Linked DNA regions of Nothobranchius furzeri. The protein of the gene in region 1 purifies or fractionates together with the protein of each later gene. This does not show direct contact. Links are inferred from orthologs where the notes say so. Each region holds a gene or a part of one and is shown in the gene's direction. Other genes may lie near its edges.

Region 1 (5,728 bases):
TGCCAATTTTAGTCACGCAAACATTTGTTGATTGTTGTGACTTTTTTAATACAAAAAGCATTTGAAATAAAAACATAAAAACAAGGGAATGAGACTGAAACTGTGACCCATTCCGCTTATTGTGACCATCAATATGTTAAGAACTTCAAAGCTAACAGACTTGTTATATGTGCAGCCACCAGGTTTAAACTATTTCCTGTTGGTGTTTTAAATTTATTGATTTTCAGACGCATGAAGGTTGAATTAGATTTGCTCAAACTGGGAGAATTTACATGCAACCCTGAAAGTATAAATGTAAGGACCTCCACAAGGTTGCTCATTTGTAAACAATTCACAATTAGTCCAAAGTGACAGATTTATAGAACATGTCACCGGATTTACTGTGACACGTGAACAAAAGGTTACAAGGTTGGGGTCTAAAAAGCATCATTTTGGCTCTTTGATGTGATGGGAGTATTTCAACCTTCTGTCATTCCTGTGTAGAGCTTCCTGTTTGGACCCTGGTGTCAGGGAACAGGACAGTACATTCGGAAGCAGCGATGACAGAACTCTGCTGACCAAAATAGATCTTATTGCTGTTGGATTGCTGATTTATTTTTTTGTCTTTGTAAGAAGCTCAATCCCTTCACTGATCTCTCAAAGTCAGTTGAACAAGTGTGTGCCTCCTATGTAATTTTGCAAAAATAACACAGATGCATATTTCTTAAAATAAATCCTTGAGCATATACTCAGCGTGGGCTGTTTGGGTTTCATGATTTGGAGAGATGCAGCAATCCCAGTAAGGAGAGGCTGAGTGTGTTCTTGGAGAACGTTAGACAGGAAATGCCAAAAGCACATCTGGAACTCTTACATTAAGGAAGTCTGAGCGTGACAGCGGAGGCCTTTGCCTCGCTTAGCAGTCCACTGCTCTGTTAAACACTGTGACAGGGCAACGGAAGAGAACACTCTCTGAGTGTGAATGTGGGCTGTGTTTTAGGCATGAAAGTCATTTCCATATGGTTTGGCTACAAGATGTTGCGGTCACATTCCTTATTTGATAATAACATGGGTGAATTTAACTGCATTTGTACTTGTATAACTATAATTTGGAGTGTGTGTGATGCTTTAGATGTATGTGTGTGTGTGTTTGAATGTAATTACTAGAACGGTTGATAATTAAGTACAAAGAAGTGGAAAGGAGAAATGTGTGGCCCATGTGTTGTTTTTTGTTTTGTTTCACCGACAGGTGGTGCTGTTACACAGGCAATCAGAGGTGTCTTTACTATTTAAAATGTCTGTGTTTATGTGGCATTTGTGATATATATTTTCGAACTACTTTTGCGTTTTTTTTCCATTTTTGGCATTTTTTAATTCATGTTAAATCATGTTAAAAGTACTCGAAATTCGAGATGTTTTAACATAAAATGCAGAATATATTTGTATTCATTTTTTCCTCTATTAATATTAATACATTAGAGCACTTTTTTATCTCCTACAAAGAGGTGCACGTTTCACGCCACTCTTAAATGCACCAAATGACTCTCATTAACATTTTTTTTCTCTTGCATTTTTGAAGCTGCAGCAGACAAACGCTCGGCAAACACCTGCAGGGCAGGACTTCAAAGTTACCTATGCGTGCAATCAAAGAGGCCAGGCGAGCAAACAGATTTCAGAACAGCAATTTTACCGGTTGACGTAAGAGGTGGGTCTGGTTGTCGTGGCAACCAATTGGCACTGAAGTGTGGAGTCGCTCCGTGGCTCCGCCTCCTGTACAAATACCCCTATGGCTTTGACGTCAATACACGTCAACCAGAGAACATGATGCCTCTTTGCAAGTCAACTCGTGTGCTCTGTAGCAGATAGAGGCACCTCGGGCTGAAATATTAGAACTCTATTGTGCCGGAGAACGTGGTGTGACAGCCCCGTGGCTCCGCTAATGGCCTGTCGCGCTGAGGGAGAGAGCCGCCACATTGGCGCGTGAGCCGGCGGGGCGACGCAGAAATCAACTTTGTCTATTTTTAATGGACACGCTTCGAGCGGCGGTGGCAGCGGGCGGTTTGTTTTCCTTTCGTCTTTATCTCTAGCTGGCCGTGGGTCCCCCTCCTCCTCCTCCGCGTGTCTCTCTCTACCCCCCCAGAACTCTCCGAAACAGCTCCCATTTACAACAGCATGGTCATGGCTGACAATGTCCAGAAACCGCTGTTTCGGGGTCCGGTCAGGGTGGGCTTCTACGACATCGAGCGCACTTTAGGAAAGGGCAACTTCGCTGTCGTGAAGCTGGCTAGACACCGCATAACCAAGACCGAGGTGAGTGCGAACTTGTTAGCCCCAAAGGCTAACTTTGGGCTACTGTTCTATTGAGTTATATAACTTTTAAGTTGACACCCCAGGCTTTCGCGGTGGACAGGGGGGCTCTGTCCCGACATCACACACTAATAGAAACTCTGGTCGGGCGGCGGCTGAACAGCCGGCGGCCACATGACTGCCACAGGTTCGGACCCTGCAGGTACAGGAGCTAGTGAGCTTCAGCACGTCCATCCCTCTCGGGATTTCACTGCCAGTAAGAGATCTGACCGCCAGTGCTGCTGGGAAACACACTGTAAACATGCACACTCGGTTTTACACCGGACTTGACATCATACACCTGTTCTCACTTAATGACCCAGTGTCAAAGAAAAAGACATGTCAGTATCTGGGGATGCAGAAGGAGTTGGTGGTCTCATTATGTAATCCAACTAATGATGCGATGTTCCAGCAGTGCAGCCAGCCACGTCTCTGCAATCTGAAAGCAAAGTCTTCTGCAGGCATGCATGCACCGACTCTTTTGAGTCCTTGCATAGCTTGGAAAGGGGTTTGATATCGCAAACACTCCAGGCTCTCAGTCGCTGCAGCTCGAGCACATAAGAAACAGTTCATCTGTCAGCTCTCTGCAGAAAAGGGCTTACTGAAGCAGTACCATGGAGTACCATGACGTTCTGCTGTAATGACAGAGACAGGGAATTTACTGTAAACAGTGATCACACTACAAAAGCCATGCTGGGGTGTGTTCTGAACATAAGATTAAAGACTTGTAAAAATAAAAGTTAAGGATTTTAATCTTTGATCTGTGCAGTTTGTTTTTTGCTGATTATACTGTAAAGAAAAACAGAGACACTCAGACAGACTAATGAATAACAGGGAGAGAAAATGTCTTGTGCGACACTTGGTGTGTTCATCTGTTTGGCTGTGTGGATAAAATGTGTGACGTGTATTTGGTATTTGCTAGAGGAGGTCACATGGAGCATATGACCAAGGTTATTGGAGAGAGAGATTCTGAACATTTATTTGAAGCCATTTACCTCTAGGTCTAGTGATGCCAGGCCTGTTGCATGTGTGGGCAGTAAACTAATGTTTTAATAACACATGACACAGCAGATTTGACTTGTGCTCATGCACACACACGTCCCTAGATAGGTGGGTTGCTTATGTGCATGTGTGTAACCTACTTTTTCTAACTGACCTATTTGTCTCATTTTGTACATTTTGCCACTTGTTTGCATAGTTTTGGTCCAACAGTGATCCACGTCTGTCCTAAGCGCTGTCCAGTTTTCCTGTTTTTACTATTTCATGAGGCACTAAATTCCCATTGTAACTCCTTTTCTTCCAATTGGCCTTGCACTCGCAGAGTTAAAGAGTTGTCTTTTGCTTTGTGTGCTTGTTCAGTATTGTTTCCAGCACAGTCCGTTTGAATACCGAAGATGCATTCATCAGAAATGTAAAATTTGCAAGTTAGCACTATAAGATTTAGATTTCTTTGCAGGATTTAATGCCATACAGTACTGCATGCCAGTCTGTGTCGTGACAAGGGAGATAATAATGGAGTGTTAAACCTATTAAAACTCCCTCAGCTGCTCATTGTTGAGCAGCAACGTCAGATATGCTGAAGGAAGCTCAAGATAAGTGACAGATTTCACTGCCACTGAAAGCAAATTAAAGCTCACTGTAAACACAAAACCGAAAATGCAGCACTGTTCTTTATTTGACTAATACCTCTGCTTTTATGCAGCAGACAGGTTAAGGGAACAAATACAGGCATCATTTATCAGTTCATCTGTTGCTGCAACATGCTTTTGCATCAGGTGGCCATCCAGTGCAGCTACACATTCCTTTGTAATATGAACAGAGTAGATCTGATGGATATCTCTGAATAAAGATGGAGGATAAAACGAACATCCAGGGATCGAATCGCTGCACAGTCTGTCGCCATTTGATCAACCTTTAGAAGTCTAACTGATCAAAGACCAAATAAATGTTAAATTAATCATTATGAAAAAGAAAATTAGGATTTTTGTTTGGTTGGTTGAAATTTGCTCCCCCTGATCAGCTTTATTTGTTGGCAGACTTTCATCTCAAATGTTCAAGTTCACCTAACGGTGGTGTGAGTGCAGAGATCTGGGGTTTCCTGTTTACTTCTCCTTTTGGCTCACAGATGCCTGGAGCATTTCAGATCACACTGGTGATTTTGTTGTTTATGAGAAAGTCAGGCAGAGAGGTGCTATTATTGCCTTGTTACCCACCAGACTTCAGCAACAAATGCCCGTGATGTTTAGGGTTCGAAGATGCTGTTTACATTCGTTCATGTCCGTGAGTGTGACAGGAATGTATTTACCTGTTGGATTAAAGGTCAAGACGGTTTCCGAACATTTTTAATCCCATCATTCGATTCGTAGAAAAAGCTAAAACAAAAATAAGCTAGAAAAGGAACACAGTGTCCTGTTTTTATGTTTGTTGAATTACTGTTTTGCACTGCGGCTAGTTTTTGTGTTCATCACTTCTCATGAGCCTAAACAAGCACCTCAGCTACATGTCATCAAGGAACTGACTATTGTTGTATTGCTGATGGTTGATGTTTCTGCAGGTGGCCATTAAGATTATTGACAAGACCCAGCTAGACGCTGTGAACCTGGAGAAAATCTACAGGGAAGTTCAGATCATGAAGATGCTGGACCACCCCCACATCATTAAGCTGTATCAGGTTGGTTCTTTGTACCTTTTTATCTTCATCTTTTGTCGACTTGTCAAAAAAAAATGTAAACAAATGAGTGATTTTTCAGAAGTGTTGGATTCTACTTTCACCATGTCTCTATTTGATCTGATCTATTGTGTCTTATCGTCTCTCCGTTTTATCTTTTTATTGTTTCTTTCCACTGGATGCCTGAGTGGCGTTTGACGTAATAAATGCGTTTTCATTGCGACCTCAGAGGTGTTCCGTTTCTACTGGAAATCTTTCAGACGTGGAAATCAAGGAACCACAGAACTGCCAAGATCTCAAGTGTGATTTCACCAGTTCATGTGATAAAAATCAAGGTGAAATGTATCCAGAGGTCTGTGGTTTACTTTCTGTGCTTTTTACCTGTCAAGGAGGTGACACATGTATGTTTTGATATCGTTAAACGATGAGAAATCTGCACCGATCTTTTCATTTGAAATTTTCCAGATGCTTTACTCTACTTTTGTGTTTGATTTCCTGTCTGGCTCGATCGGAAATGTTTAGCTTGACTCTAAATCCTGTCATGTGCTCGGTCGGATACTGATCGCACAGCATCATGGATATATTTGAGCTCTGTTGAGATTCTTATGATAAAATCCCTTGAAACAGCCTCTTGTTTTTTATTTAAATTTAATTGAACTGACTTACTTGTAACCCTAATACACTCCCAGTAAAGAAAATTGCTCTAGTTTTAGATCATATCCGCGTTTAGCCTTGAGT
Region 2 (5,389 bases), on another chromosome or scaffold:
TAGAAACCCTTACATCAGCATAAAATAAATAACTCAACAACAATATGATGGACTCCGTGGAAAATGACGTCACCTAAAAGTCAAACAACATTAAAACACACATTTTCTGCAGGATAACCCTCTAAGACAGCCTCCAAATGCCCCACTAGAAACAGTTCACCGTGCTTTCATTACATTTAGCCTCTTGCACCAACTAAGGACTGCTGAAGAGGAGTGTTTAAGGCCTAGTCCACACGTAGCCGGTTTTTTAAAAATGAATATCCGCCCCTCCAAAAACTTGCATCCACACCACCGCGTTTTAAAGAAAACTCTGTCCACACGTACCCGGATAAATACGTTAAGGACATGCCAGACCTGTAGGCGGCAGTACTTCCCCCGTTCTTAACCTCGTCCTTCGTCTGTGTTCTTCCGCAAGGAGCAGTAATTCCGCTTGCAAAAACAAACAAGCAAAAAGCGCTTGGACAATTGATAAAGTGAGCGCGGCTCTGAGGGCATCCATGCTGTCGGCTAGTGTAAACACAGGTCGCACACGTGATGTCAGCATTTTTTTGTCGTGGAAAGTGACGTTGCGGACCTTAAAACTCCGGTTTTGTCTGTCCACACGCAGACACCCAAAACGGAGAAAACGCAGATCTTCACTTTGGCCGGAGTTTTTAAAAAGATCCGTTTTCGTGTGAAAAAACTCAGTTTTCGTGTGGATGACAGGCCAAAACATAGAAAAATATCTACGTTTTGGCAGATCCCCGGCTACGAGTGGACAGGGCCTAAATCCCAGTTGCAGCTTTAGTCCCATCAGTGGTGAGAGCAGTCAGGACGTACCACAGGGGTTGTCGGGACAAAGCTCCTTGCAGAAATCCCAGAAGTGGAACAGATCTTCTGGCATTTGTAAACCGTACAGCCGGGTCAACTCATCCCGCTGCTCTGGATTCCTTTCTGACAGCAGCACAGGTGTGGACTCATCAGTCCGGACCCTCTTCACCTCTCCATTGGCTGAATCCGACCCCTAATGAATCAGAGGAAGAAAAGAAAAATTACAAGTTTTAGTTTGTGGACCCAGGTTACACCATTGTCACTCCTGTCTCAGCCTGTTGCTGCTCTCTGATTATTAATTATATTAAAGTTTAACACCCTCCTGTTTCCTATGGCCTCCATAGTCACGGTTTGTTTTATTACACAGGTGCACCAGTGGGCGTCCTGCGTCCCCAACACCTAAGGTGTTTTATGCAGGTTGAACATTATTATAGTAGCTGAACAGAGGTAGCCGTGAGACCATCTAAAGCTCAGCTTTTATGGATAAAACACACATGCACAAGTTATCCTGCAGGGCACGCGACAGGTGACCCATCTCAAACGCTCCAGATGCGAACGCACGTGTCAGAAATGCGAAGCGGACACGATTAGACTGGAAACACAGTTTAGCAGAGAAGCAGCTGCTGCCATGTTGTCTGGAAGCGCCGCCGCTCACTCAGCTCCAGCGGTTCAGCCCGATGGTCTCACACAGATGTACCCGGAAAACAGCGACACCAGACAGAAGTCTGCGTTTGCCCCGGAGAGCCCGACTTCTCACCTGACACGTTCAGCGCAGGAAGCTTATCGGAGGAGGAGAAATTACCTGAATAGCTTTGGGTTTTCTTTTTGCGCGCCCTGTCATTTTCTTCCTCTCGTCTCGTCTTCTTCTTCTGCAGATTGAAGACAGTGGTAGAGGGTTCACCGTGACGTCGTGCGTCAGTGCCCCCGTGAGGCGTGGCGGTGTAAACATCATCAATTTTACACCTAAAGACACACACACACACACACACACACACACACACACACACACACACACACACAAATATATATATATATATATATATATATATATATATATATATATATATATATATATATAAATATAAGAAAATAAAAATAAAAAACAATAACAGTTAGTTTTAATAATTAAAATCATCCAATGAAAGGGAAAATACACATTTCTATGAATTAAGTTTTAAGTTGACTCAGCTGTTTAATTTAGACAATAAAAAAATGAATGCAGTCTCATTTTAAAGCGTGGCTGGCCCCACCACGCTCCATTCTCATTAAATGTCTCCCTCTGCTGGTCGCCCCCCCACCCTTCACCACCTGCAGTGGGTGGAGCCACCAGTGACAGCTGTGCTGTGATAGGCTTCTCCTAGAGGAGGCTGCCATGACACACGGTGGATGCTGCACAGAACAACATCCTCAGCATCAGCAATCCAGCGCTCCTGCATCCTCCTCCTCACTGTCCCTCTCTCTCTCTTTTCCTCCTCCTTTTTGCCTCTCCTCCTCGTACCACCACCCTTGCTGTCTCTTTTCTCCTGCTCGTTCTCCCTTCCCTTCGGCGGACACACACTCACACACGTCGAGGCCCTGCTTGAGCACACTGCAGCAGAGGGACGTGTACGAACACCAGCAGCAGGATCAGCAGCAGCGGGTGGACTGGTAGGTGAGCTGTGGCCTGAACCCCCCCCCTCCCCTTCTTCCTGCAGCACAAGCAAGACAGCGCGTTCTCCTCTGATCTCTGTCAAGGACTATCTATCTGAGAAGTGTGTGTGTTTGTGTGTGAGGGAGACAGAGGGCTGGGAGGACTACCACACCCTGGGATCATTTACAACCTCCGGCACAGCAGAATGAATGTTTGATGTTTTTATATAATCTTTGCTCCATCCTTCTCTTCTCGCTGAATGCATGCAGTTCCCCTCGGATGGATCTGTTTTCTGTGTCTGCTTGTGATGTTTGGTTTCCTGTTTTAATTCCACAGTACATGAATTCATTCAAGCACATGTTAGCAAGAGCACTGAACATGCAACCATTTAGGAAGTTAACTAACTACATCTTTCATGTTTTCCTTTCCAAAACCCTCTTCAACATCAGGCCATCCACCCCTCTCCTCCACCTTCTCGATTCAATCCTGTTTATCTCTTTCCTCCCTCTTCCTTACACAACTTCTACTCCTCCCAGCTGGTCGCTTTTCCCAGGATGCCTTGCCTCAGGCCACTACGGTAGGCCCCAGCAGCATGGGCGGAGCCTGGGTGGGACGAGATATCAAAGATTGGACCCTTCCTCTTAGGACGGGTGTGGTGGCGGGTCACCTACCTTCAGCTTCAGATGGGCGAGGACGCTGAAAACCCCAAAATCAACCACACCTTCCTGCGAGACTACGTCACTGAAGGTGAGTTGGGTTCACCTCTAGGGTCGGATTAGAGTGACTGAAAAAGGAAACTTGGTTTTATTTTTTATTCTGACAAACTCTGATCTTATTTTGCATCTTTAAATTCTCAGGCTGAAGATAGAAATGTGGTTAGGAGCTTTAGAAATAAGATAATGTTTTTAGTGATTCTAAATTTTATTGATATTTTATCACAGGTTCACTGTTTTTTATGGATCTTATTTATGCTTTCTTTTGAATTGTATTTACTAAGACACCGTCCGGCCCCCCAAAAAGTCAACATCAAAAGAAAAGGTTCACACACTAATATTTCATTGGACCACCTTTAGCTTTGATTACAGCACACATTCGCTGTGGCATTGTTTCAAAAAACTTCTGCAACGTCACCAGATTTATTTCCTTCCAGTGCTGCATTCATGTTTCACCAAGATCTTGCATTGATGATGGTTGAGTCTGACCGCTGCACAAAGCCTTCTCCAGCACATCCTAAAGATTCTCATTGGGGTTAAGGTCTGGACTCTGTGGTGGCCGATCCATGTGTGAAAATGACGTCTCATGCTCCCTGAACGACTCTTTCACTATCTGAGCCTGATGACTCCTGGCATTGTCCTCTTGGAACATGCACGTGTCATCAGGGAAGATGGAATAACCTGGTCATTCAGTATATTCAGGTAGTCAGCTGACGTCATTCTTGGAGCACATCCTGCTGCTGAACCTAGACCTGACCAACTGCAGCAACCCCAGATCATAATACTGCCCCCACAGGCTTGTACAGTAGGCATGATGGGTACATCACTTCATCTGCCTCTCTTCTTACCCTGATGCACCATCATTCTGGAACAGGGTCCATCTGGACTCATCAGACCACATGACCTTCTTCCATTACTCCATAGTCCAATCTTTATGCTCACTAGCAAATTGAATCCTTTTCCCCAGGTTTACCTCACTGATTAGTGGTTTTCTTACAGCTATACAGCTGTTTATTCCCAGTCCCCTGAGTTCCCTTTGCATTGTGTGTGGAACAGGGGCAGACTGAAAAACATCCGAGGCTTTAGTCCTAGTAGCCAGCCCTAACCCCACCCCTTGTGTGGAAATGCTCTTAGTTTCACTGTTAAGCATAGCCCTGACTTCTACTGTTGATTTAACCAAACGGGAAAGCACCGCAGATCACGTTCATTCTAGATTTTTCCCCCCAGCTACATTTCTTCCTCGAAGACGATGGGTCTCCACTATTCTTTCAGTCTTTAAAAATGCGTTGGACAGTTCTTTAACCCAGTTTGGGTCATTTCTACAATCTCCTTAGATGCTTTCTCTGCTCGATGCATGCCAACAACCCTGACCCTTCTCAAACAGACTAACATCTTTTCCATGACCACCACATGTGCCTTTCCACATGGTTGTTTAAGAAATGAGAAGCAACTCATTTCACCAGCTGGGGTTAAATAACTTGTCATTAGCTGAAAGATAATCGCCCATGCAATTTTCCAATAGGGGGCTCTTACCTCAGGCAGCAGTAGCTCACAAGGCTCTCTCTAACCTTAACCCTACCCTAACCCTAGACGTGTCCACCATCACCTCTCTGAGTTGCCCAGTAATTGGAGGGTTGCAGGTTGGATCCCAGCTCCCACCAGAGAATGCTGCTGTTGTGTTATTGGGCAAGGCATTCAACACGCCTTGCCTGCTGGTGATGGTCAGAGGGACTGATGGCGCCAGTGTTTGGCAGGCCTCGCCTCTGTCAGCGTGCCCCAGCGCAGCTGTGGCTACACAGCTCATCATCACCAGGGTGTGAATGTGTGAATGACTGATTGTGTTGTGAAGCACCCTGGGGGCTTGTAGGACCCTAAGAAGGCGCTGCTTAGTTAAATCCAGATGTGTATGTTCTGTTTGGTTACAAATCTCCGGATTGAAGGTGTAGTTCTTCATTCTCAAGGACATAAAAACGTTGTTCGATAGAGCTTTGTTAATATGAGCTAGTTTTCTATCGACTTCCTGAGGATCTTTGCGGTGCTTTTTTCTCCTGGTCCACATGTGAGATGTTTTGGTCCTGAAGCTGCATGCTGTGAAACTAATCTAGATCCAGGGCTGCATTTTTAAATTTGAGAGGGCAAAACCACAGAACTCCTACTTAGTTTAATGTTTTAAATCCCTGTTTCTGTATTATGTTTTATTTGTGGGCCCTTAGATCAGCCGACCAGGTGCTTTGGG
Region 3 (4,955 bases), on another chromosome or scaffold:
ACGAATTGTTGAGCCTCTGAAACCTGCTGTATGTAGGGATGGATTTTTGTGTGCAAGTATTATTGATTATGTGGTCAAGTATACAGGTGAAACTCAAAATTAGAATATGGTACAAAAGTCTGTTTATTTCAGTGATCCAACTTAGACTGAGAGACTGTCTAAAGGCTCAGGAACCCTTTGCAGGTGTTTTGGATTCATTTGAGATTTCTGAATGTGGGGTTTTCATAAGCTGAAAGCCATAATCATCACAAATATAACAAAGTCCTGAAATATCTGACTTTGCATGGAATAAGTATCATGTATTACAATCACCTAAAGGATTATTAGGAACATACTAATATGGTGTTTGACCCACTTTCACCTTCAGAACTGCCTTAAAGGGGTATTATAGAAGTTTGACAGCCAAAACATGTATAGAAATAATAAATTTCTTCTTCATACATTCTCCTGCAATGCCCTGGTCCTGTAGAATGAGCCCTGACATTTTTACTGTGATTGCCTGTTTTTCTGTAAAATCAAAGAAAAAGAGAGCTGCTCGGGTCGAGCAGGCTGCTTCTTGAACATTCACGCTCAGGCATCGCCTGTAGCATTTGCCATCAGTAGCTTTAGCAGCAGAGAGAGAGGTAGTGCCAACTCAGCGACTTTGTCGCTGTTCCTAACGCCTAGTGATAAACCTAGCTACATTTCTGAGGACCCTTAGCTACTTTCTTCTAGATATTTCCTGCAAATTAGCAACAAAATAGCCATTTTCGCTCCGAACCGTTCTTTGACCATTGTTTCAGCTGTTATCAACGATATAAATGTTACAGATACAAATGACGTCACTGGTGCTTTAGCTCACCTAGTAAGATGTTGGACTCTCGTGCAGAAGACCCGGGCTTGATTCTCAATGTGAATATGGTTTAGTTAAGAGTTTATTTTTTACATTGATGGTATATTTTTTTACAGTAAGATGCTCAAATTTTTATTTGAGACTCACCGAACGGCATTGAATTCACAGATAAAAAAGATGTGGGTTCAACTTTCATTTTGGATTAATTTTTCAAGCAAGGGAAGGGAATTATCTGAGCATGCAGGAAGACTGACCCATCATAAACCTTTGTTGGCTGTGCTGAAGAGAAAGGTACAGAACCAAATCATTTAATTAATTAGCTGCATGTTGTCCTGTCCTCTGTCCTTTGGGCCACACACACACACACACACACACTCGGGACTGTCTCAGCTGTTATTTTCGTTAAGGAGTGTGCACGTACAGCATGCGCGCCTCGTGCACGAGCCTACTATTGAAGCTGCTGTTACGCTTTTGACCTGAGGGAGCATTCGCGAACATAAAAATTCAAAACACCGTAAAGTCCCTTTAATTCTACATGGCATTGATTCAACAAGGTGCTGAAAGCATTCTTTAGAAATGTTGGCCCATATTGATAGGATAGCATCTTGCTGTTGATGAAGATTTGTGGGATGCACTTCCAGGGCACGAAACTCCCGTTCCACCACATCCCAAAGATGCTCTATCGGGTTGAGATCTGGTGACTGTGGGGGCCATTGTAGTACAGTGAACTCATTGTCATGTTCAAGAAACCAATTAGAAATGACTGGAACTTTATGACATGGTGCATTATCCTGATGGAAGTAGCCATCAGAGGATGGGTACATGGTCAGAAACAATGCTCAGGTAGCCTGTGGGATTTAAACCAAGCCCATTTGGCACTAAGGGGCCTAAAGTGTGCCAAGAAAACACCCCCTACACCATCACACCACCACCACCAGCCTGCACAGTGGTAACAAGGCATGATGGATCCATGCTCTCATTCTCTTTATGCCAAATTCTGACTCTACCATTTGAATGTCTCAACAGAAATCGAGACTCATCAGACCAGGCAACATTTTTCTAGTCTTCAACTGTCCAATTTTGGTGAGCTCGTGCCAATTGTAGCCTCTTCATTACTATTTGTAGTGGAGATGAGTGGTACCCGGTGGGGTCTTCTGCTGTTGTAGCCCCTCCGCCTCAAGGTTGTGCATGTTGGTGCTTCACAAATTCTTTGCTGCATTCCTCGGTTGTAACGAGTGCTTATTTCAGGCAAAGTTGCCCTTCTATCAGCTTGAATCAGTCGGCCCATTCTCCTCTGACCTCTAGCATCAACAAGGCATTTTCGCCCACAGGACTGCTGCATACTGGATGTTTTTCCCTTTTCACGCCATTCTTTGTAATCCCTAGAAATGGTTGTGCGTGAAGATCCCAGTAACTGAGCAGACTGTGAAATACTCAGACCGGCCCGTCTGGCACCAACAACCACGCCTGTCATATTTTTATATCACCACTAGATGTCTCCAAGCTAAGATTTGAGTTTTTTCTTTTTTTGAATCCTCAAAGTTTTTAACAATTTTTTGCTCTTTCTAATCGTTTTCCTACCTTTGATCTGGAATCGGCATCAAAAGATTTTTCAAACACAATTTCCTGATTTAGCTGCAGGAGGAGAAAGGATCCATGCAGGAATGTCTGCAAGTGAGGAAGCATAAGTACGAACTCTGCAGGATTTTCTGAAGCATTCATAGTAAGATGCAATCTCAAAACAGTGCACATTCCACAGGAGCAACATTAAAAACCGCAGTGTTCATTTGTACATCTAAGTTTGTATAAGAATTTTCTTTTCAGTTGTAGAAATATCTGTTTTGGCTTTCACCTTAACCTGAGTTCTTCAGATATTGTTGACATTAAACCTGCCAACATGGAGGAGCTGACAGAAGTGATCACAGCGGCGGAGTTCCACCCTAACCAGTGCAACACCTTTGTTTACAGCAGCAGCAAGGGAACCATCCGTTTGTGTGACATGAGGGCATCAGCTCTGTGTGACAGACACACAAAATGTAAGTCTGTGTTTGTGCTGCAGGTCTGCTGCCAAATTTAGCTTTTTGCACATTTTAAAGTGTTTTATTTAATTTCTTTTTCTTACTCTGATTAAGTCATTCATCTTTTCAGCACTGAAATTTTTAAACTGTTGCACGGTTATTTAGAAACTGTTTCCTGCCCTTGTTATTCAGTTTACATCTGTATAATCTATCAACATGAATGTGTTTGCCTTTTAAGTGTTTGAGGAGCCTGAAGATCCAAACAACCGTTCGTTCTTTTCTGAGATCATCTCATCCATCTCTGATGTGAAGTTCAGCCACAGCGGGCGCTACATGATGACACGTGACTACTTGTCGGTCAAAGTTTGGGATCTCAACATGGAAACGCGACCAGTAGAGACATATCAGGTCTGTAACTGATGACGTGGGCACACTTTGGTGTTTTCTTAACGTGATTAAACGAAATGTTACTTTCTGATTGTTGTGTTTGAACAGGTGCATGAATATCTCAGGAGTAAGTTGTGTTCACTTTATGAGAACGACTGCATCTTTGACAAGTTTGAATGCTGTTGGAATGGAAATGACAGGTGAGCCCTTGCTATTTTTATTTGTGTAACCGGATTACAGGATACAATAAGATAATTAAAAGAAAAAATAAACAAATGGGCCAATAATTAGGTTCGGGGAGAATTGGAGGTTGTTTAAGAATGACTGGAGTCACGGGTATAGCATGAAACGGTTTATATACTAAATTTTAATAATAATGGGAAATATAACGCATAAAGATAACACACAAAAACAGATGAAAACAATCGACAACAGTAAAATGCTCGGTATGAGATTTGATCATATGAGTCACAAGTCAGCCGGCGTCAAGTCAAATCCCCACGCTTGGGGTGAAAGTCAGAGTCCGGTGGTGCGATTTTTTCCTACCGCACCGTTGAGATTGTTCACAGAAGAGAGCAGTCTGCTCTTCAGTTACTTGAGATGTCCTGGTTCGTTCAGTGGTTAAGGCTCGCCATCTCCCTCGTCAGGAAGAAATCCAGTTCTCGTTCCAAGTGAGTGATCATAGGAGTCGGGATCAAACCCAAGGAAAAAAAAAAACCCAGCCTGTAAACAACAGGACTGTTAGCAAGTTGGCATCGACCCTTCTCGTCACATCACAGCATAAAGTCTTACAGACTTAAACAAATGCTTCACTCTATTGGCATAGCCAATCATGTTTGGGTTCACAGTTCAACTAACATAACATCAATTTGATTGTCTATTAAAATAATTCTCAGTAGCTCTGGAAATATAATTACATATGACAACAATTGTTCAGCTCAATAGGCTCAGTTAGATTCTATTACTCTACACTATTCGACAAGAAATGCATTCATGACAACAAGGATACATTTAGTTGTGTTTCTATACAGCATTGTGACACCTTGTATATCTGTAACACAATAAATAAATAAATAAATAAACAAACAAACAAATAAATAAATAAATAAAATTTTCTATAACAAAATTAAACAAAATATAAATTCTGGTCCTTTGGTCCACCTTTGTAAAATAATTCCTCCCTAATCAGTTAGCTTTTATTTATTTTTATTTATCTATTTTTTTATTATTAAATGTTTGGTTAAGGGACGCATTGCTAATTCTATGGCGTTAGCTATAACGCCCCTGAGGACCTTGTACATCTAGGCCGTACCACCATTAACTGGCGGTTTGAGCCGTTAACTCCTGGGAATCCCATATGCCCTACCGCCGTTAACTGGCGGTTTGAGCCGTTAACTCCTATATGCCCTACCACCGTTAACTGGTAGTTTGAGATGTTAACTCCTGGGATCTAATGTCTAGCAGCCCACTGCTGTCACCTCGGTTGCTGTAATTAGCTTTTTGAATTTAATAATTTACTGAATTTAATCTCATTCACTCACCAACGCGCTCCAACGGTTCCCTCCTACAGAGGATTGGTTCACTCTGTCGTCTCCACACAAATCTATAAGAATGGAATTAATTTGATAAGCTATTTAAGTTTCCTTTTTTTTTTAAGTTGCATCGTTAGCTTTTTCTCTTCTTTTTTCTTTACTCACCGCGTTGGTTCCAAGTTCCTA

Evidence for each region.
Region 2: the proteins of sik2b (region 1) and ppp2r2ca purify together in Homo sapiens (affinity purification with mass spectrometry; 3 studies listed by BioGRID and IntAct, counting the BioPlex papers as one, with this or other methods). This does not show direct contact. The link is inferred for Nothobranchius furzeri from reciprocal best matches to the Homo sapiens genes SIK2 and PPP2R2C.
Region 3: the proteins of sik2b (region 1) and ppp2r2aa purify together in Homo sapiens (affinity purification with mass spectrometry; 3 studies listed by BioGRID and IntAct, with this or other methods). This does not show direct contact. The link is inferred for Nothobranchius furzeri from reciprocal best matches to the Homo sapiens genes SIK2 and PPP2R2A.

The regions. Positions count from the first base shown.
Region 1 is NC_091753.1:40,037,373-40,043,100, forward strand, and holds the start of sik2b (serine/threonine-protein kinase SIK2), read left to right. Parts: upstream 1-1,931; 5' UTR 1,932-2,148; coding exon 2,149-2,286; intron 2,287-4,876; coding exon 4,877-4,993; intron 4,994-5,728. UniProt on the Homo sapiens protein: Serine/threonine-protein kinase that plays a role in many biological processes such as fatty acid oxidation, autophagy, immune response or glucose metabolism.
Region 2 is NC_091747.1:78,433,326-78,438,714, reverse strand, and holds the start of ppp2r2ca (protein phosphatase 2, regulatory subunit B, gamma a), read left to right. Parts: upstream 1-2,172; 5' UTR 2,173-2,461; intron 2,462-2,889; exon of another isoform or gene 2,890-2,976; 5' UTR 2,977-3,123; coding exon 3,124-3,187; intron 3,188-5,389. Other genes in the region: hpf1 (histone PARylation factor 1), read right to left, coding at 820-1,003, 1,613-1,762. UniProt on the Homo sapiens protein: The B regulatory subunit might modulate substrate selectivity and catalytic activity, and might also direct the localization of the catalytic enzyme to a particular subcellular compartment.
Region 3 is NC_091757.1:37,258,260-37,263,214, reverse strand, and holds part of ppp2r2aa (serine/threonine-protein phosphatase 2A 55 kDa regulatory subunit B alpha isoform), read left to right. Parts: intron 1-2,703; coding exon 2,704-2,868; intron 2,869-3,088; coding exon 3,089-3,258; intron 3,259-3,345; coding exon 3,346-3,437; intron 3,438-4,955. UniProt on the Homo sapiens protein: Substrate-recognition subunit of protein phosphatase 2A (PP2A) that plays a key role in cell cycle by controlling mitosis entry and exit. Involved in chromosome clustering during late mitosis by mediating dephosphorylation of MKI67.